Linked DNA regions of Mus musculus. The protein of the gene in region 1 interacts with the protein of each later gene in a pairwise test. Links are inferred from orthologs where the notes say so. Each region holds a gene or a part of one and is shown on either strand. Other genes may lie near its edges.

The links. The genes of interacting proteins can lie anywhere in the genome.
Region 2: the proteins of Ube2e1 (region 1) and Znrf1 interact in binary tests that used the Homo sapiens proteins (3 or more experiments, as listed by UniProt). The link is inferred for Mus musculus from reciprocal best matches to the Homo sapiens genes UBE2E1 and ZNRF1.

The regions. Positions count from the first base shown.
Region 1 is NC_000080.6:18,279,155-18,288,797, forward strand, and holds the end of Ube2e1 (ubiquitin-conjugating enzyme E2 E1), read right to left. Parts: intron 6,115-9,643; coding exon 5,982-6,114; intron 5,268-5,981; coding exon 5,120-5,267; intron 4,850-5,119; exon of another isoform or gene 4,286-4,849; coding exon 4,188-4,285; 3' UTR 3,575-4,187; downstream 1-3,574. Other genes in the region: Nkiras1 (NF-kappa-B inhibitor-interacting Ras-like protein 1), read left to right, coding at 793-1,035. UniProt on the Homo sapiens protein: Accepts ubiquitin from the E1 complex and catalyzes its covalent attachment to other proteins. Catalyzes the covalent attachment of ISG15 to other proteins. Mediates the selective degradation of short-lived and abnormal proteins.
Region 2 is NC_000074.6:111,530,891-111,541,825, forward strand, and holds the start of Znrf1 (E3 ubiquitin-protein ligase ZNRF1), read left to right. Parts: upstream 1-5,749; 5' UTR 5,750-6,250; coding exon 6,251-6,674; exon of another isoform or gene 6,675-6,759; intron 6,760-7,411; exon of another isoform or gene 7,412-7,443; coding exon of another isoform or gene 7,444-7,576; intron 7,577-10,935. UniProt on the Homo sapiens protein: E3 ubiquitin-protein ligase that plays a role in different processes including cell differentiation, receptor recycling or regulation of inflammation. Mediates the ubiquitination of AKT1 and GLUL, thereby playing a role in neuron cells differentiation.

The sequences.
Region 1 (9,643 bases):
ACACACAAAAGCTTAGTGAGTCAGCACCAGCTCCTCCCTGTTTGCCACTTTCTTGCTGCTTGGAATTCACTAATCTCAGATCTTCTTTACATGTCACCTCAGCTCAGTCAGCAACCTCAGAGCCGTCCAGCACCCACGTTAATAGTCTGCTCGATGGCTTAGCCCAGATTCTTACATTTTATATATTTGTTTGCTTTGTTTTTGTTTTTGTTTTTGTTTTTGTTTTTTTTTTTTTGAGACAGGGTTTCTCTATATAGCCCTGGCTGTCCTGGAACTCTGTAGACCAGGCTGGCCTCAAACTCAGAGAGATCGTCCTGCCTCTGCCTCCCAAGTTCTAGGATTAAAGGTGTACACCACCATGCCTGCCTGGCTGATTGGCCATCTTTTAAAAAATATGTTAAAAACTTAATTTTAATTATGTCTGTGTGGGGAGGTGGGAGGAATTATATGCACGAGTGCAGGTGCCTGTGGAGGCCAGAAGAGAGCCATGTTGTCATATTTGTCACATCTGAGGGTTCCCCTGACAGCCGAGTATTAAGGCTTCATACTTGGTAGGTAAGTTCTGTACTTGCCCAACTTTTTAGACAAGGTTTAACTAGATTGCCCAGACTGGTCTTGAACTTGCAATCTTCCTAGTTCAACTCCAGAGCAGCTGAGTTTACTGCTTTCGTTTCCTCAACATCATCTAAACAAAGCAGTTTGCTAAATGGAAGAGCAGTAATTACTTATACAGTTTTCCTGTAAGCTGCTATGGATGGTTACTATTGTGGTCTTTGGTCATTTTTTGTCCAGGTGGCAATCGTTGTGTTAGGAAACAAACTGGACCTTTCTGAGCAGAGACAGGTGGATGCTGACGTGGCACAACAGTGGGCAAGAAGTGAGAAAGTCAAGCTGTGGGAGGTGACAGTGACAGACCGGAGGACACTGATTGAACCCTTCACTTTACTGGCCAGCAAGCTTTCTCAGCCCCAGAGCAAATCCAGCTTCCCTTTGCCTGGGAGGAAAAACAAAGGGAACTCCAATCCCGAAAACTGAGTCAAGCCTTGAAATGTCTGTAGCCTGGCATGAGGTTACGATTTAACGTGGCCCTTCTCAGATCACCTCTGGGCCTAATGGAACCCCTAAGTGGTAATTTAATGCACTTTCTAATTAAGTTAATTACTTTATAATTAACCTAGTTTATTGCTGTTGGACATTATTTTTTGCCTTTATTTGAAACCTGTTCTTATTTTGTTATTTATTCTGCACTTGTCAATAATAGCAAAATAAAATTTAGAGTATGCAATATACCATGGGAACTCTTCCAGCTTGTCAGGACTCTCATACTCATTGTAATTTTATGCAAATGCCTTATCCTTCCATAAACGCATGAATAACAGGGGTGGCTGGGCTCGCTTGGCAAAGCGCCTTCCCCACTGAGTCACAGGCCCAGAACTCTTGTCTTACACAGAGCTAGAGAGATTGCTCAGCAGGTAAGGCCGACGCCTTGCAGAACTTGTAGCACCTTTAACAGATTCCAAGGGATCCAGTGTCTTCTCTTGGTTTCTTCAGGCATTTCATACACTTAGTGCTCATATATACAAGCAGAGAAAATCACTCATACACATAGAATAATATCTAAGGTTAATCATCTAAGATTATAGAGCTTGGCAATTGCTTTGTGTACTTAAATTGTCCCAATAACAATCTGGATCTCTAAATTCTCATTTTACAGAGGCTTTGCTGAACAGAACAAGAGTGGTGGTTTTGTTTTGCTCTATTAAGTATTAAGATCTTAGGGTTAGGACGAGGTGCTTTTGTATTCAGCGCCCTGATTTTATTCTATAAGCTAGGCCTGTGCTGGTGATAAAATTAAATACTAGAGGGTCTTTTGAAAATGGCTAGGCTGGAGAACAGGGAAACATCCCTTTTCTTCTAATAACCTTGCCATATACAATAAAATGCCAGAAATAGAGTTACCATTAGTTTTCCATATTAATCTGAGTTTACAATTTAATTTATGGAAAATCTTTTAAAAAAGATTGCCAACCCTATACAAAGAACTAGGAAATAAGTTGTTTAGTGTTTTCAACTGTAAATAATCTTTAACCATTTAACTGAAAAGCAAAATATGAAACAAGGTAAAGAATGCATTAAGTACGGAACCTTCCTTCAACCATGAGCATTGCTGCTGCTTGCTTTTCTGTTGGTACTGTAGACTGAACTCAAGCTGTATCATTAGCCTTTTTAAGGAAGGGTTTGTTTGTTTATTGGCTTTTCGAGACAGGGTTTTTCCCTGTAGCTCTGGCTGTCCTGGAACTCATTCTGGCCTTGAACTCAGGAATCAGCCTGCCTCTGCCTCCCAAGTGCTGGGATTAAAGGTGTGTGCCACCACTGCCGGGCGAGAAAGGGTCTTAATAAATTACCCAGGCTTTGAACTTGGAATCTTTGTGCCCAGACACCCTGAATACTGGGACTACAGCCACCCGGTTTGCCCTTCATCCCACTAAACACTGGCTGGTTGGAACTATGTAGACCAGGCTAGCCTTGATCTCAAGTCCTCCTCAGCTGGGATTAAAGTTCTGTACCATTATACACAGTCTTGGCCAATTCTTTTTTTAAAAAAACATACTTTTTTGGTTATCTCTCAGGTTAAGTCAGCCCGCCCTTCCAGGTACTTTTCTCTCAGCTTTGTCTTCTGATATATTTTATATAGATCCTGCCTGGTGTTTCTGTTTTTTCTTTTGGCTGCATTTAGATCTTGTGCTTTAATATACGTGGAATTGTTTATGTAATTAAAATGCTTTTTGAGACTGGGTGTCATGTAGCCTAGGCTAGTCTCAAACCCAGTGTGTAGCTGAGGATGACTCTGAACTTTAATCCTCTGGCATCCAATCACCCTGGGATGAAGGTGTGTGAATGCTACTATGCTCAGCGTTCACTTGACTGAGGCTGGAGCCATAGCCAGCAGCAGTGCTACTGAGTCACTGAGCCTGCTCTGCAAGATGAGCACCAGCTCACCAGAGTGGCTCATTTCTCCTGTGTCTGCTGCCACTTCATCTGCAGATCAGAAAATGCTTTGAGCAACAGGCATTGAGTATATCTTTGACGCTTTAGCTGGCTTACACTGTTTTGTTTTTTGAGACAGGGTTTCTTTGTGTAGCCCTGGCTGTCCTGGAACTCACTTTGTAGACCAGGCTGGCCTTGAACTCAGAAATCCACTTGCCTCTGCCTCCCAAGCCTGGGATTAAAGGCGTGCACCACCACTGCCTGGCTGTTTATTGTTTTTAAGATATCTCCAGGGGGCTAAAGAGATGGCTCAGGGGTTAAGAGCACTGACTACTTCTTCCAGAGGTCCTGAGTTCAATGGCCAGCAACCACAACCATCTTTAAAGGATCTGATGCCCTCTTCTGGTGTGTCTGAAGACAGCTACAGTATCTTTATTTATACACATAAATAAAGTCATAAAAAGACATCTCCAAAATGTGCTGTGTAAGTATCAGCTCTGGCATATATTAAGTGATAAGTATTCCTTAACCTGCTTTCAGAAGCAAAGACTGCAGAGAGGAAATGAACACAGCAGGGTCAGTAGTTGTTCTTAATATTGTTTATTAGCACAAATGCAGACGTAAGAAGTCTAAACCAATTGACTGAACAATTCCTATTCCACACTTACAGTTAACAGCTTAAGGTATTTCACTACAGGTTTCCACAAATTGTGATTCAACCCTTGAAGTAATTTGCATATAAGATAAAATACATTAACTACATGGTGTCTTGTAGCCAGGTGTCCATTTTACATATACGAGGTAACAAACTCATCTTTGCAAACTTGTTAAATACCATTGTTTCCTTTTAAGAAGGAAAAACAAATTCCATTTTTTTTGAACAAGAAAATAGGACTTTACATAAATGACATGTACCTATACAAATTTAAGCTGATCAATGGAACACAAGTATCTACACATGCTTTCTTTTGTACTAAAAGTCAGCTAATCTTGCAAAGTTTCAGCTCTAAAAGTCGCTATTACCAGTTTGTCTACTGTAGCAAGATACCTTAAGTTACAACAAAATCCTGGGAAGTAAGACTGAATAATATCTGATATAGAAATAGCCTACTCTTTACCAACTCCCACCCCCACCCTTTCAAAATCATAAGCAGCTCTCTTCTGTGACAGACAAGTCATGTAAGAACTGAAAACCCAGTTTATGTAGCGTATCTCTTGGTCCACTGTCTGGCCATTCTGTCGTGTTCTGCTCTGTTGGTCATGTACTGAGTGGCAATACTTCCCACCAAAGGGTCAGCTGGAAGAAAAACATGTATGTTACTTTGGAGAAAGAAAATCAGATACTTTGCCCATGTCTGAAACACTCACTGTCAGAAGGTGTTTTCTTCTAATCTTTAAAAACAGTTTTTAAAAAGGTTTATTTTATGTTTTTGGGTACTCTGTTTGCAGGTTATGGATGTGGGCCCCTAGTGGGTGCTGGAAGCTGAACCCCTCTGCAAGAACACTTGCTCTTCAGCTGGGCCACTGTTTTAGCCCTTCATCTAATCTTATCTAGAAGGGTGGGAGGAGTGGCCTTGGCTTCATTTTCTTATTCTACTTTAGTTCTCTCTCAACAAGTGACACTCTTTGTTCTCCATGTGTATGACCAAGGCTCCAAGACCAACTTTGTTCAACCAATTAGAGCTGTAGATATTGGGAAGTCTCTCTGGCTGGTGCAATTGGCAGTATCTATTGTATAATGTATACCTAGAAAAGGCCAAAAACCCAGACTTCCAAATAAATGTGTTTCTCTGAAAATGGAATGCCTAGTTAAATTTGTATATTTAAGCAGAAAAATAAATAATTTCTTTCTTTTTAAAAACAATTAGTCCCAATAAGATTACAATTCTGAAATTACCAAGTGCAGAAAAATACCTCTTTCTAAAGTGAGCACTGGCTGTGGTCAAGTGCTCAGTGAATCCTCATCAAAACTGGCAGCAGAGCTGCACCCAGCCTTAGTGAGCTCAGAGTAGCTGCCTTTTCCAACTAGTGCACTAAACAATTGATTAAAATGTCCTTTAATGGTCTTAGCTTATGTGGAAAACAAGAAACATTTAGTAAGAAATACAGTGCAGATGACTATTCGTCTTACCAGGATTGCAGTCTGTAAGGAGTGAGCAGATAGAAAGGAGGACTTTCGAGATGGTTAGGGCTGGGCTCCAGTTGTCTTTCAATATGTCCAAGCAAATAACTCCTTGGCTATTAATATTACAGTGATAAATTCTTGTACGAAATGTAACCTAAAAATAAGGCAGTTGTCAAGCAGCATTCATGTAGGAGGCATTATGACATTTCAGGTAGACGCTGTTGAAGTGAGGCCACACTCAATTCTCCATCTCATTTTACAGCAGTACCCACTGCCAGATACTTCTTTACATTTTTTCTTTTCTTTTTTTTTTTTTTGTTGGTTTTTTTTTTTTTTCATTTTTTCTTTTCTTGATCAGGCTAGTCTGGTACCATATATCCCAAAGTAGCTGCAAATTTTTGATCCCTCTGCCTGCTTCTGTTTCCAGATATGTGCTACTAGTAACATCTGGCTTAATTTTAATGTTCTAAATATGACTATGTCTTAAGTTTGGATTGTTAGTTGTTTGCTGACCTCTTGTGTTAGCTGGAAGTAATACACTGCTTCGGAGTGTGCGTAAAATCTAACAAGCTAGACAATAACTAGCACAGTTTTAAGCATTTACATCTAGAAATGCCTATTGCCTACTGAGGAGCCAACCCAACCAACAGTCATCACATTCACTTAAAACTGGCAAACAATACACAGAAGGAAGCTGAGCTCTTCTGCCACACAGATCTAGACTGTACCGCAGTACACACAGCTGTTACTAACATGCTTTAACAGGACAGCAGCACACAAATGGAAGACTCTAGCTTTTGTGATTACAATGAAAACTTGATCTCTCTCAAGGAACAGTTAATGTCAGGAGACACTGGAGACTCCTTACCTTTGGAGGCTTGAAAGGATACTCTGGTGTAAAAGTAATGTCAAGGAAGAATACTCCACCTTCATACACAGACCCTGGAGGACCCAGAATGGTTGATCTCCACTCATAGATGTTGTCACCCTTGGGACCAGCACTGTGAAATAATACAGGAGCAGATAAAGACATGGTGACATTGCATCAGAAAAGGGAAAAAAACCCTCCCCTTATCCTTTTGGTTTAATGTCTGGGTTCTCTTCATAAAGAATATGGTAGTGAGCCAGGACAGAAGAACACCAGACCCATTCTAAACACTCTAGCTGCAGCTAGACATGAACTTTCTTCAACTCTCAAGCGTAAGGTAAACATCAATTAAAGATTCGTTTCTTAGAATATAAGCCGCTGACTATTATGATTCAAAGAAACTCAGGGCAAATCTCAGTACCTGTGGCTTCTCCAAACACTTCTCACCCAGGCCAGGGTGAGACCTGGGGACAGGGCTTCTGCTTCCCTTCCCCCACCTTCTCTTCATTGTACTGCTCAGCTATTTTGACTATGGCTCTCTTGGTCCACACCGCAATCTTGAGCTCTTGTTTCACTCTTGGTCAGCTTGCCCCACCCCCCTTTTCTTGTCCTCCCCATCCCCATGCCCAATAACTCCATTCAGTCTGTTAGCTTGGCTCAGTCTGGACTCTCCCAATGTCTCTGCCTGTTCTCCCCTTTATCTACAATAAAATCTAACCATACCTAGGAGTGATCATGTCCTCATTTTTCATTCAGTGACAAGTTTTCTCATTGCTGCATCATTTCTGGTAAATAACAAGAATTTTTGCCCTAACTAAAGTACTTGGCAGAGTTTTAAACTCCACACTGACATAAAGACATACAACATTTGACTTCCAGCCAGCCTACACACACACACACACACACACACACACACACACACACACACACACTTGCTTTAGCTAGAAGATCTTCTGGCCCTCTGAGACAGAGTAGCTCAAACTGTCTTCAAAGTCACTCAGCCCTCACAAATGCTGGGTCATGGGTAATTCCAAGTTGGTGCCTATACTTCCTACCTTATAAAAATTAGTGAGTGAGAGAGGCGAATGTCAATGATGTAATCAGTTTTCACTTCAGTGTTAAACTAAACACGAACTTTCATTAGCCATTAACCAAACCCCATTCTTGTTAAATACAATATACTTGGTTGTACCCTTACTCGGCTATACCATCCTTCTAAAATATTGCATTGGCTTCCAGAGTGCTCTGTATTCAAGTACCTTAGCAACAGCAGTAAAACTTGCACTCCGATTCTAAGACCTATAGAGTAGTAATACTCTTTGTAGTAGTAATTTCTTACTACTAAGGTAGGGTACAGGGAAAGACTAAAAAATGATTTATTTCTATTTGTGTATCCCCCCCGCCCCCACACTGCCTGCTCTTACAAGTCAGAGGGCATGAGATCCCTGGAGCTGGAGTGACATGTGGTTGTGTGCTGCTTGACACAGATACTGGAAACTGACTGGATCCTCTGGAAGAGAATCAGGTGCTCTTAACTGCTGAGTGATCTCTCCAGCCTCCAACAAGATCTTAACCAGCTCTCTCCTAGGAATATACTATGATCCCCCTAGTAAAAAGTTACCTTTGCTTCTTCGTTTACTGAGAACAGAATGGGTTCTCAATTATCAAAAGTTAGCCTGTTTGTGTCCCTTGCTTCCAGTGGGATGGTCACTAGGAGGTTGGGCCTTTGGGGACAGTCAGGTCAAGAAAGTAGAAGTCATTATGTATAAGCTTAGTGTCCTAAATAAGACCTCACCACCAGAACATTTGCTTCTTACCTGCCGAGGATTAGTGCAACAAGACAGCTGTCTGGAAACTAAGAAATGGTTCCTCACTGCACTAAAACTGCTAGCACTTAAGTCTTGGATATCTTGTCCCGAAGTGACAGAGGAGAGCTAAGGCCTTTAAAGTTCAATCAACACTATTCTACCAAACTGCCACAGAAAACTCTTCATTGTCAGGCTGGCAAGATGGTTTAGCAGGTAAAGGCATATGCTGCCAAACCTGATGACCCGAGTTCAATCCACAGAACCCTCATGGTGGACAGAACCAACTTTCCATACACATGTGGACCAGGCTGTCCTTGAATCTGAGATCCATTTACCTCTACCTCCAGAGTGCTGGGATTGAAAAAAAATAAAGGACCGTGAAAGCTGAGCTAGAAGCAGACAAGTAGACATCAGCAGGAAGTGAGAGTAGAGAAAAGGGTTCTGATGTCCATGTGAGCTAACAATGTTTTAAAACAGAGCCCAAGATTTTCTGGCACTCATGATTTGACTGCTACTCCATAAAAGGCACCCCTTGGGAGCAAGAGGGTTAAGACTGCCAACTGGCCACAGAGGCTAACATCAAACCTTCACCTGCATTGAAGTCACTTCTGGATTGTTACACATGGGAAGGCGGGTACTGCTAGTACCTGGTAGGTAGAGGTCAGCACTAAGCACCCTGAAGTACACTCTACAAAGCACAAAACAATTACTTCAGCTGCAGATCCCGGCAGTGCTGAGGCCAGGAAGCCCTGCCTTGGAGAGCATGGCTCAAGGTCAAGCTTAGAAAGGAAAGAGTTGTAGTTTTGTTACAATAATAGCTATCATTGTTTTACTGCTCTGTGCCTGCTTTAGAAAAAGAAATGCATATGGCTATTATTACTGTTGGATTTGTGCTATTAGTGTGGTCCCTAAGTAAGCAACATTACCACCCCTTGGGATTTTATTAGAAATGCACACACTTACTTTCTAACTAGATCCCTAAATGATTCCTAAATACACTCAAGTTTAAAGGTCAGCTATAGAGGACAGTAACTGGCAATACAAATTATCTTTTCCTAGGGTTTGGCTTTTAATTATCATTTTATTGTAGCTTTCCCCACTCTTACTATAACTCTGCAGTGAGATCAATCCTGGAAGTACTTAGTTCTGTTAGAGTCAAAATCCAGTCCACAACTGTCTATATTCCCTGACAACATTATTCAAAAATCCCTTTCTTTTACTTTCCCCACCCACCTTGAGACAGTTCCCTGGCTGTCTTGGAACTTGCTAGATCAGGATCACTTCAAACTCACCTGGCTCTGCATGCTGGAACTAAATGCCTGACCCAGTACAGCAGGTCCCACAATTCATTTCTTATCCTGTCTTTTTTTGCTATAGGGTAGATCCTTTCTTCCAACACTGCCCTCTCCATAAGACCTACGCACTCAGCATACCTAGGACTTTTACGGTGTGGTGGACTAAGGGGAGAGGCATGTTTTAGTGAGCATCTGTGTAAAAGTCTGTACAGGAAGAGGAGATGAAAATGCTGGGTACAAGGTCACCAACCCTTGGAAAGAACGTGTGGACCAAAGACAAACCTAAGCAGGTTGTACAAGACCTGGCTCCCACACCACACGTCACTGGTGTCCAGGAAATCTAGACATCTTTACTGGAACAAAGTGGGCCCAAGGAGTTGTAACTTCCTCACTAAAGGGAAGGAGACTGGCTTCAGTACCCAGTCAAGAATGGCATCCCTACAAATTCCTAATTCTTATTACACCAACACTCCACTCTCCAATAGGGAGTGTCTAACAAGAAGTAAGAAAATTTCAAATGGGTCCAAATCCTGGGGCTCTCACATTTTCTTCATGGTAG
Region 2 (10,935 bases), on another chromosome or scaffold:
GTGGTTCCTAATCAGACCCAGGAAATCTGACTGACCTCTGTGATCTGTGGGCACTGCATGCAAAGCATGCATGTGGAGTTTATATATATATATATGTGTGTGTGTATGTATATATATGCATATATATGTATGCAAAAAACACACACATATAAAATAATGTTTAAATGAAAAATGTACATGGCCAGAGACAAAAAAAAACTAAAACACATATAACGTGGTAAATGTTTCTCCTCTGCTCCGTTACCAGAACTCCCCAGCTCCCACTGTCTCTCTCTCCCAAGGGGACCCCTATGTTGTATCTCTCCAATTTCTGAATGTATACGTGGATATACATAAATATGTACATGCTAAGAACAGATCTTTAGTTGAGGGGAAGGGAAATCACTTTCATTTAAAAGGGGGCGAGTTTAAATTCCTCAGATTCTTTGAGCTTTTGGAGAGACCATCCCTCCAGGCGTGGAGAAAAACACCTAGAAACGTTGAAGGCTGAGGATGACTTTGAACTCCTGACCTCTGCCTCCACCTCTCCTGTGCGGAGAATATAGGTGTCCTCCACCGTGCCCGGCTTATGCAATACTAGGGATTGAACCCGAGACTCAGTACACGTTACGTGAGCACTCTAGGTCCACCCCTAGCCTCCTTACTCATCTTCCAGGGCTTCACTCTTCGAGCTTCTCCTGGGCACCCATCGTTTAATCAGCACCGTGCTTTCTTTCTCGTGACACATAAATATTCACATATTTCTGACAAGTATTTCTGACGGCACATGGCAAATACTGTTCTAGATTTATTTCTATCGTATTGTCACCGAAAAACCTGTCATTCCCAGCTCTTGGGAAGCAGAGGCAGAAGGTCAGAAGTTCAAGGGCATCCTTTTTTATCTCTCTCTGCTGGAATCCCCTTCCGGGGTGCTTGGAATCCACCCAAAGCCTAGCATACGCGTGCGAGACCGGCAAGCACTCTACCACCGATCGCGATCCCCAGTCCAGACACAGAGGATTATAGTAAACTGTATGTCCCATAAAGCTCATCTCCGCAGACGTGTGAACCGATGGTTGCTTTTAATATAGTCGCAGGCATATGCGACTCTGATGTTAGAATATTTCCATCGCTTCAAAAAGAAACCCATTAGTAGCCACTCTTCAGCTTTCCTTTCAGACCCAAGTGCCCCTAATCTGTTTTAATAGATTATTAGTCACCCAGGACATTTCATGTAAGTAGAATTATATAACCATACAACTACGTGGTTATTAAATTAATGATTTTTTCTACCTGCCACGGTGTTTTCAAAGCTTATTTATGATGTAGCATTTATCAGCACTTTATTCCTTTTTATGGCTAAATATTAGTTCATCGAAATATATATATATATAATGTATGTGGGCCTTTTTGGACAGGGTTTTGTTGTGTAGCCCTGAAATTCCTTCTGTAGATCAGGTTGGCCTCAAGCTCAAAGAGCTCTGCCTGCCTCTGCCTCCTGAGTGCTGAAATTAGAGTCCACTGCCACAGTCCAGCTCATTGTGTAGATACTATTATTGCTTTAATCTATTGATGAATGTTTGGATTGTTTCAATTTTTTGGTTATCTCAAATAATGCTGCAGCTCGGTGTGGTGGTACAAGCCTGTAATCCTAGCCCTAGCCCCTGAGAGGGAGATATATGAGGATCCGAAATTCAAGGGCATCCTTGTCTACACAGGGAATAAAGGGCTAACGTGAGCTATGTAAGTTCTGGTCTCAAAAACAAAAAACAAAAAACAAAAACCCAAACAAACAAAAAAGCAAAATAAAGCCAGGGCTGGAGAGATGGCTTTGTTTGTAAAGCATTTGCCGTATAGTAAGATCCAGTCCTGGGGAGGTGGGAGTAGGCAGGTTCTTTGGGTTTGCTGAGGCTAGCCAATCATGGAGTTCAGGCTCAGTGAAGAACCTATCTGGAAAAGCAAGCCAGAGGGCTGGAGAGATGATGGCTCAATGGTTAAGAGCACTGACTGCTCTTCCAGAGGTCCTGAGTTCAATTCCCAGCAACCACATGGTGGCTCACAACCATCTGTAATGGGCTCCAATGCCCTCTTCTGGAGAGCAACAGTGTATTCATATACCTAAAATAAATAATTAAAAAAAAAAAAAAAAGGCAAGAGTTGTGATTATGGAAGACACCCTACCTGTATCTTCTAGTTTCCACATGCTTGTGTATTCCTTCCCACATAAACAGGTACACACACACACACACACACACACACACACACACACACACACACCAAGTAATGAGGCTGTGCACATTCCTGTATAAGTTCTTTTATGAACCTATGTTTCATTTTCTTAGAAATATACCTAAAAGCCAGGTATACCAGAACTTGGGAGGCAGAGGCAGGTGGATCTCTGAGTTTGAGGCCAGCCTGGTCTACAAAGTGAGTTCCAGGACAGTCAGGACTATACAGAGAAACCCTGTCTCAAAAAACCAAAAAAAGAAAAAGGAAAAAAAAACCCTAAAAACTAATACATATATACATATACACATACAAGCACATTATATATACACACATTATATATATACACACACACATATTTATATATATATAATTACACAAACACACACATACCTCTAAGAATGAATTGGCTGGATCTTATTGTAGCTGTTTCCCACCCCCCACCCCCCACCCCCTTTGGAGACAGAATCTCACTGTGTAGCCCTGGCTGGACTGAAACTATGTAGCCCAGGCTGGCCTTAAGCACAGCCAGCCTCCTGCCTCTGTCTCCCTACTGCTGACATAAAAGATGTGAGCCTGTCACACTCAGCTTGTTTAATCTTCTTGAGGAACTGCCAGGCAACTTTCCAAAACAATCAACCATTTAACATTGCCAGCAGGAAGGTTGGCGGGTCTGATCTCTCCGCAGCGGTTACCATCTTCCTCTGATCATAGCCATTCAAGAGGGCACAAAATGCTTGTTCTGAAGGTTATGAGAAAGGGAACGCCAACTGTCTTGTTCACTGTATGCTAGAATTTAGGAGAGTCTGGAACTTCTCAGTTTTAAATATTTTATTAGGGAATGGGTTATAGCTCACTAGTAGTGTACTTGCCCAGCATATATGAAGCCCTAGCTTTAATCTCCAGCACCTGAGTTGGGGGATAACTATATATGCATACATACACACACATACACACATGTGTGTAGTGAATAAGATGAAAACAACTTTGTTAAGATGGTTATAACGTATTTTTCAAAAGTAGATGTGTCAAGAATCTAGGTTTTTTTTTTTCTGTTTTCTGATTACCATAGTCTTTCTTCTGAGAAAAAAAAAATAGATGTTTCCTTTTTACAGACTGATTTTTATTTGTATGTGTATATGTCTACATGAGTGAGTGCTACCTATGTGCGGGTGCCAATGGAAACCAAAAGAGGTCATCTGATTTCTTGGAAATGATGCTTCAAATCAGACTCAGGTCCTCTGCAAGAGCAACGTACTTTCTTCTGAGTCATCCCTCCAGCCTCTAGTAGTTTTTAAAATTTTCTTCAGATCACTCAGTTCAGTTTTAGAAGTGCACACATTCCTGATTTAGACACAGATAATATTCTGGATATTATCTCAGTGTGTTTGTTTTATTTTTTTTAAAGATTTATTTATTACATGTAAGTACACTGTAGCTGTCTTCAGACACACCAGAAGAGAGCGTCAGATCTCGTTACAGATGGTTGTGAGCCACCACGTGGTTGCTAGGATTTGAACTCTGGATCTTCGGAAGAGCAATCGGGTGCTCTTACCCACTGAGCCATCTCACCAACCCTTACGTTTATTTTTATAAAATTTTATTTACTAATTTTTTTTTCAAGACAGGGTTTCTTTGTATAGCCCTGGCTGTCCTGGAACTCACTTTGTAGACCAGGCTGGTCTGGAACTCAAAAATCCGCCTGCCTCTGGCTCCCAAGTGCTGGGATTAAAGGCATGTGCCACCATGCCCGGCTACTAATTTTTTTTTATATATGAATGACTGTATGTATGCATGTATCATGCCTCTGGGGTTATGGATGGCTGTGAATCACCACATAGGTGCTTGGGATGAACCTGGGGCCTCTCTAAGAACAAACGCTCTTAACCCCTGTGCCAACTCTCCAGCCCCTAGATACACACACGCAATTTGGTTTTTTGTAACAGAGTTTCTGTGTGGCCTTAGCTGTACTGGAACTTGGTTTGTAGACCAGGCTGGCATGGAATTCAGAGATTGTCCTGCCTCTACCTCTCGAGTGGTGGGATTAAGGTGAGCACCACAGCCATGAAAATTTTTGCATTGGCTTTTCTTTTTCTTTTCTTTTCTTTTCTTTTTTTTTTCGAGACAGGGTTTCTCTGTATAGCCTTGGCTGTCCTGGAACTCACTCTGTAGACCAGGCTGGCCTCGAACTCAGAAATCCTCCTGTCTCTGCCTCCCAAGTGCTGGGATTAAAGGCATAGGCCACCACTGCCCAGCTTGTTCGAAGCTTTTAGCTCACCCCCAGCACTCTGTGCTTGCAAACAACCATCTTTCTGTGGCCTTCCAGGCTAGTCACACTGGAAGAGACAAGTCTATTAGCCCCTTTAAATCTCCCTCCAATTCCATTTTCGGAAGCACGGAGCCCACTTGACAGAGTGACAAGAGAAGGTCAGGTTAGTGACTGGGTGATGCTTACGGTGCTCAGAGCTGAGCACTTGAAAAATTATTTGCTCAAAGAATAAGCAAAGTGAAAATATGAGAAAGACTGGGACTGACCTGGCAAGGTGAGTCTCTGTTGCAAAATGCAATTTGGTCAACAAATATTTATTGAGTACTGTGCCCTTGCCTTGTGGCTCTATGTCAAAATATGGCTCTATGTCAAAATACATGATAAACAAAACAGCAATCGGCCTTGGGCAAGGAGTTTCTAAAACAGCTTTCCCGCTGCATGGTTCTTACTTTTTTTTTTTTTTTAATCCACCTATTGATTTTGAGGATTATATTCTAGCCTAAGGAATCGATTCAGACCCAAATAGTTGGTTCTGATCTAACGACAGCAAAGTCTAGGCGCCACTGGGGCACTGTTGTATCTCCTAACAGCTAATCCCAAATGTGTTTGGGTCCAAGCTGATTCCCTCCTCCCCCCCCCCCCCCGCCCCCCATGCTAAACTTCCTAAGGTTGGCTGGGGTCCTTGGATGGAGAACCTCCAAACGAATGGACAGCATATCCACCAGAGGGTGCTGTGAGGGCAGGTCTGTGGCGGGAGGGGAGCTCCCCCAGTGACCCTTCAAACCCAGGTAGGCTTTATTAGTTGGTTTTTCTTTCTTCTCGGTGTTTCCTTCCTACCCGCTAAAACCGTCGTTACCCCTCCCCCCACTCAGGGTCTCGTTTTGAAGACATTGATTCGACTTTCGCCGCGACTCCAGCAGAGCTGTGATCCAGAGGAAGTCTGACCTCTGTCGCAGACGCCCGGCGGCTGGAGACGTCCTGTCCCTGGACCGCCCGGGGCGCAGGCGGTAGGTGGGTGGGGACCTCCAAGGCCGCAGCTCGCTGCTGCGCCGCAGGGGCCGCGAAGGGGTTAACCCGGCGGGGGGGGGGGTGCGGGAGGAGGGAGGGGGCGCGGGCCGCGCGTGCGCTCTGCCGCCCTCCATTGTCTCCACGGCGGCGAGGAGCGCCGGCGAGCGCAGCCCGGGACGGAGCGGGGCGGTGCGGCTGGCTGGCGGGGCCGGCGGCGGCTGGAGCCGGAGCGCGACGCCACGCGACCGCGGCTTCCAGAGCTCCGCCTGGCTGCCCCACCGCCGCGAGCCCTCCCGAAGCCTGGAGGAGTGAGGGCCGCCGGCGCGGGCTGAGGAGTCCTGAGACGGGGGACGCGAACGGCGCGGCGCCCGGAGCCTCCGCCGCTTCCTGCTGCGGGCGAGCGGCCTCCTCCGGCTCCTCCCTCCCTTCGCTGCGGCTCCTTAGGCTCCGGAGCCCGGGGGCGGCCTGTGGCGCGAGGCGCCGGCTCTGGACCGCGCTTCTTCGGACCTTAAGGGGAACATGCATTCGGCTTGGACAGTTTGAAATTCTTAGTTTGGGGTCCCCGCTCGCTTGCTTTTTCCACCCCGCGGATTTTTTTTGAGGATTCCCCCCCTCACCTTTTTTCATTTTTCTCCCCTCGGGGCTCTTTTGTGACTCTCCCCAACCCCAACCCTCCGCCTTTATGTTCGCCCAGACCTCCACCCGCTTCTGAGTAGTGGGGGAGGGTTTCAGCCTCCACGTTCCCGCCCCACCGGGGCCCCGGCGAACATGGGGGGCAAGCAGAGCACGGCGGCCCGCTCTCGGGGCCCCTTCCCGGGGGTCTCTACGGATGACAGCGCCGTGCCGCCGCCGGGAGGGGCGCCCCACTTTGGGCACTACCGGACGGGCGGCGGGGCGATGGGGCTGCGCAGCCGCTCGGTCAGCTCGGTGGCGGGCATGGGCATGGACCCCAGCACGGCCGGAGGGGTGCCCTTTAGTCTCTACACCCCCGCCTCCCGCGGGACCGGCGACTCCGAGAGGGCGCCGGGCGGCGGAGGGTCCACGTCGGACTCCACCTATGCCCACGGCAATGGTTACCAAGAGACCGGCGGCGGTCACCATAGAGACGGGATGCTGTACCTGGGCTCCCGAGCCTCGCTGGCGGATGCTCTACCTCTGCACATCGCACCCAGGTGGTTCAGCTCGCACAGTGGTGAGTCCGCGGGTGACGGAGGCCTTGAAGGGTGGAGTGCAAGGGAGGGCGCGCCGGGGCGCCCGAAACCTCTTAATGTGCTAAGGTATGGGTATGAAGCTAACTCCTGCCCTTCCCCTGGTTCCTTCCATGTCAGAGGATGAATAGGATCAAATAAGATAACTACTGCCTAGGGGGAAAGCTGCCTACTAGGCGTGTGGAGCCGGGTACCTTAGGACTGCAGGCATGTGTTCACTTGTGGATGGCTGAGTGAAACCTGCCTATTGAGGTCGCATTTATTAGCGTCATGATCCTCAAAGGTCTTCTTGTCTGAGACTCTTCATTTCTGCCGCTGCAGCATGGTACCTACCTTTCTGGTTAAGGAGGTAGTGTCTCCTAAACAAAGAGTGAGAAAAGAAATAAAACTAGGGGCGAGTGATTCTTGGATTAGGGTTCTTATTCTCGCTAGGAAAGGGAGGTGGTTTGTTTTTCCACCCGACTGGTTTGCTGTATCAATTGTTTAAAATGGAACAGGAGGCTGGCTTAGACAGGTGTGGTCTGCTATGTGGAAAGCCTCCGTCTTTGGGTTTGCAGGACCAGGATTCTGGTCTGCATGCAGTAGATTTGGCTCAGGGATTCTCACATCCCTCCATCTTTTTTCCCCTGCTCCACGATAAGTGCTTGTTCTTCCCGTGATTGTGCATCTTTTTTTTTTTTTTTCTTTTCATAGAGCCCAGGAGAGGTGGGGTGGTATTGCCCCACAGCTGGCACATGACTAGGGAAGAGGAAGATGGAAAGGATGGAGATGAACTCATTCTGTGCACTTCTGGTGACAGGCCAGGAAAAGGCTGGAGGGGGATTTCCCAGGCCCTGGCTGGTGGTAGGGCAGCAAAGGCCTGGCAGAGACTTCTACAGGAAAACAGGTCTGTCTGCTTGGCTGTCCTGAGAAGCCAGGGCAGGCCTCTAGAAAACTGGTCAAAAGGGGTGTGGGGTTGCTGCTTGTTAACTACCAGTCTGAGTGAAGCAGTTAAGTATTCAGACTCTTGTGCCTGAACTGGGCAATTTTTGTTGCTGTGTAGGAGAAATCATTCTCCTGTCCTCAGGGTCCATTATGGAGGGCTTACCTGTGAGGTCACTGTTGTAGCTCATTGCAAAACAAGGTAGGGTTTGTTTTGTCTTGTTTGGTTTTGTATCTTTCCTTCTTTTGATCAATTCCATAATTTTTGAAGTAACTTTGGTGGGTTATAGTGGCTGGCTTAGAGCTTCTTTGACTTTAACTAAAATGCTGGACATCAGACACAAGGCATGTCTGCTTTTGGTACCCTCTAGTCATTTGGTCTGTGTTGGGCATGTTGGAATTAATAATCTTCCCTAAATAGTTGAGTCCAGAAGTCTCAGCTTTATTTCGAGACGATTATGAGTACACTTGTAAGTGAACTGTTATTGGCATGCTTTTAAAACAATTTTGAGTGCAGCAAGCAAATACCTTTATAAAAGCTTATATGGGGAGGGAGAAAAGGAGTTATCGTTTTGGTAAGATTTCTTAAGTCTGTCTCTTAATAGAAACTTCATTATCCTTGTTCTATTGTCAGGTTCTCTGATAGAGTTATGAACTTACAACTGAGTTCCAATATCTCACACTCTCCAGATATGAAGGCTTAGTGTTCTCCCCACCATCTTACTCCCACCCAGTCACGGGAGTAGGGAGTCCCACTGAGTGATGGGAATACAAGAAAAGTTAGAGTCATCCTTTGGGTGTCTTTAAAGTGTACGTGGCAGGCTCTTGTTAACATTATAGGTAATATTTGTATATATTTACTTATTTTTAGTATATAGAACCACCTGTGCTTTTTGCAAGACTCTGGGCCTATTGAATGCTCCTGGCATCCTGCAGTTCACCTCATACTGCCTCTGAATTCCCAAATGGCTTTTATTGGGGTGGGTGTACCAGTCTGACTGTGAGCTGCCTGTGCTGTTCAGCAGAGGTGAGCATTCATTTGTGTCAGTGTTAGAACAGGCCGTGGAATTTTCTGGGGCATCCTTTTCTCTTGTTCTTGGCTGCAAGGAGAGACGCTGCTGTTTCGCTGCTGTCTCGGCTGTGGAGCCTTGGAGTTAGGTCTGAGCAGCTTTTGCTCTTGTGTAAGATTCCAAAGGTGGGGCTTTCAGTGTTTGACTGACTGCGGGCCTGGAAACTGGTACAGTGTTAGTACTTGGGTTTTCAAGGTGCTTTGGTGACTCCTCACAAGCAGAGAGCTGTCATTAAAGAAATAAGTCAAAGCTGTGGGCTTGTGCTGTGTTCCAAAGTAGAATACTGAGGGCTTCCAGTTTTAGGTCCTCTGCTGAGTAACTTTGACCTTGGACAAGACACAGCACTTTTCTCTAGGCTCATCTTTGTTATTTTAAAAATAGATGTGGTAATCCTCCGCGGTGGCAGCTTGTAACGGTTGTTCTCTAAACCCCAGGAGAGGATATTCTGCAATTGCGCTTGGCTTCCGTGCTTCTGTGTCCCTGTGCCTTCCTCATGGCTGTGACCCTCGAATACTGAGCTCCTTAGGACAGAAATGCTAGCTCTTACTTTCTTCACATAGATAGCTCCTTTGAACCCTTTAGGACTCAACAGAGATTTTTTTCCTCAGTGGGCACTCTTAACATCTGACTTTCTTTTTTTTTTTTTTTTTTTTTTTTGCATGTTTTATAAGCATTTATCTGCTGACTTATTTTTCTTCTTGTAGTGTGACTAAGTTTTCATTTCTGGAAGGCCAGGACCAGCTCTTGAGTGCTGCTGTAACGCTTACACTGCTCAAGTATTTGCTGGATGAAAGAACTTGAATGGCTTATGTGCATCGTCTTATTCATTACTGTAACTCTACTCCTAGTTTACAGGGGAGGTGAGGAGCCCAGGCAGCTGGCTGTAGTTAGCAGAGGTGAGACTGGAGTGCAGGCCCAACAGTGCCAGAACACTGGCTCTTTTTATCGATTACTTTGTTTTGTTTATGTGATTATTTATTGTTTGTTTTGAGACAGTGTCTTAGTATGTAATCTCAGTTGGCCTCAAACTTATTTAATACAGGTTGGCTTTGAACTTTTAATCCTTAGTTTTCATCTTCTGCAATGTTTCAGTTATAGGTATATGTTGCTTATGTTCAACTGTGCTCTAAGACACCACTCTGGCTCCCTTTTTTTTTGTCTGTTTCCAGGAAATAGTACCCTGGAAACGTAACTAGCCACTAAGTGGGAAGAAGGGTAGGCTCATGATAAAGGGCCTGACTCTTAACCTTGAGCAGATAGATGTGTAGTTCCAGGCTTTAGTACATCTTCATCTGTAGATGTCTGTCCTCGGAGTCCTGCGGTCATTGGTGAGGGTCTTTTGTGACAGTATACACCAAAGCAAAAGGCAAAGGGAATCCAAGTGGAACACTGATGGCCTTGTGGGGACAAGGCTATTGTTCCTGCCTTCTCTGTCTCCTTAGAACTCATAGACAGAGCTCCACACGAGAATAAGAACATAGGCCCCAGCTGGAGGCCCTGCTGTCTGGAGTCTCTGCCTTGTATCCTGTTCTCCTATCATTGCCAGGGGAGAAATCCTTTGAGAAGCATGTGCAGCCCTTTCCTTCCACCGGACAGGTGCTGGGCTTGTCCTGAGGTGATTCTGTCTGTGGCTTTTGGTTTTCTGATGCTAAAGGCCTGGCTGGCCATTCTTTTTTGTAGTAGTCCTGTTAACCTTGGAGACGGGGTTTCCAAATGTGGAGAGGAAACATGAAGTATCCAATCCACCTGTGAGGTGAGCTTGCTGTGTTCTACTGTAAAATGGGGTGTGGCTGGCTACTGGGGTGCGGCTGGCTACAGGGGTGGTGTTTGTTTGGTCTGGCTTCTTAGTCATGTTTGTGTATACATATGTATATTCAAAAAAATCCAAATTTGTTTTGTATTTTAACCAACTCACCGACTAGGGCTAAGATGGAGTGACTTAAAAAAGGGTCTGAATATGCTAGCAGCATGTCTCCTGGGTTCTAGTTTGCTGTCACACTAGGATTTCCAAACTTTTTTCTAGTCTTAAATAGTGAGGAACAGTTGTCAAATCTATTTGAGTGGCTCAGGAAGTCTTTGTGTCTCACTGTAGGTATGCTAGAGGTAATGGGCCTTTTTGAGTCTTCTGAAAAAGGAAAAGCATTCTGTGGTCTCTAAAAAGCGAGATCCATTCCCTGCCCAGCTCTGCAAAAAAGTTCCAGCCTTAATGAAGACTTGATTTTTAATGTAGAATTTTTAGTTTTCTATTACCACA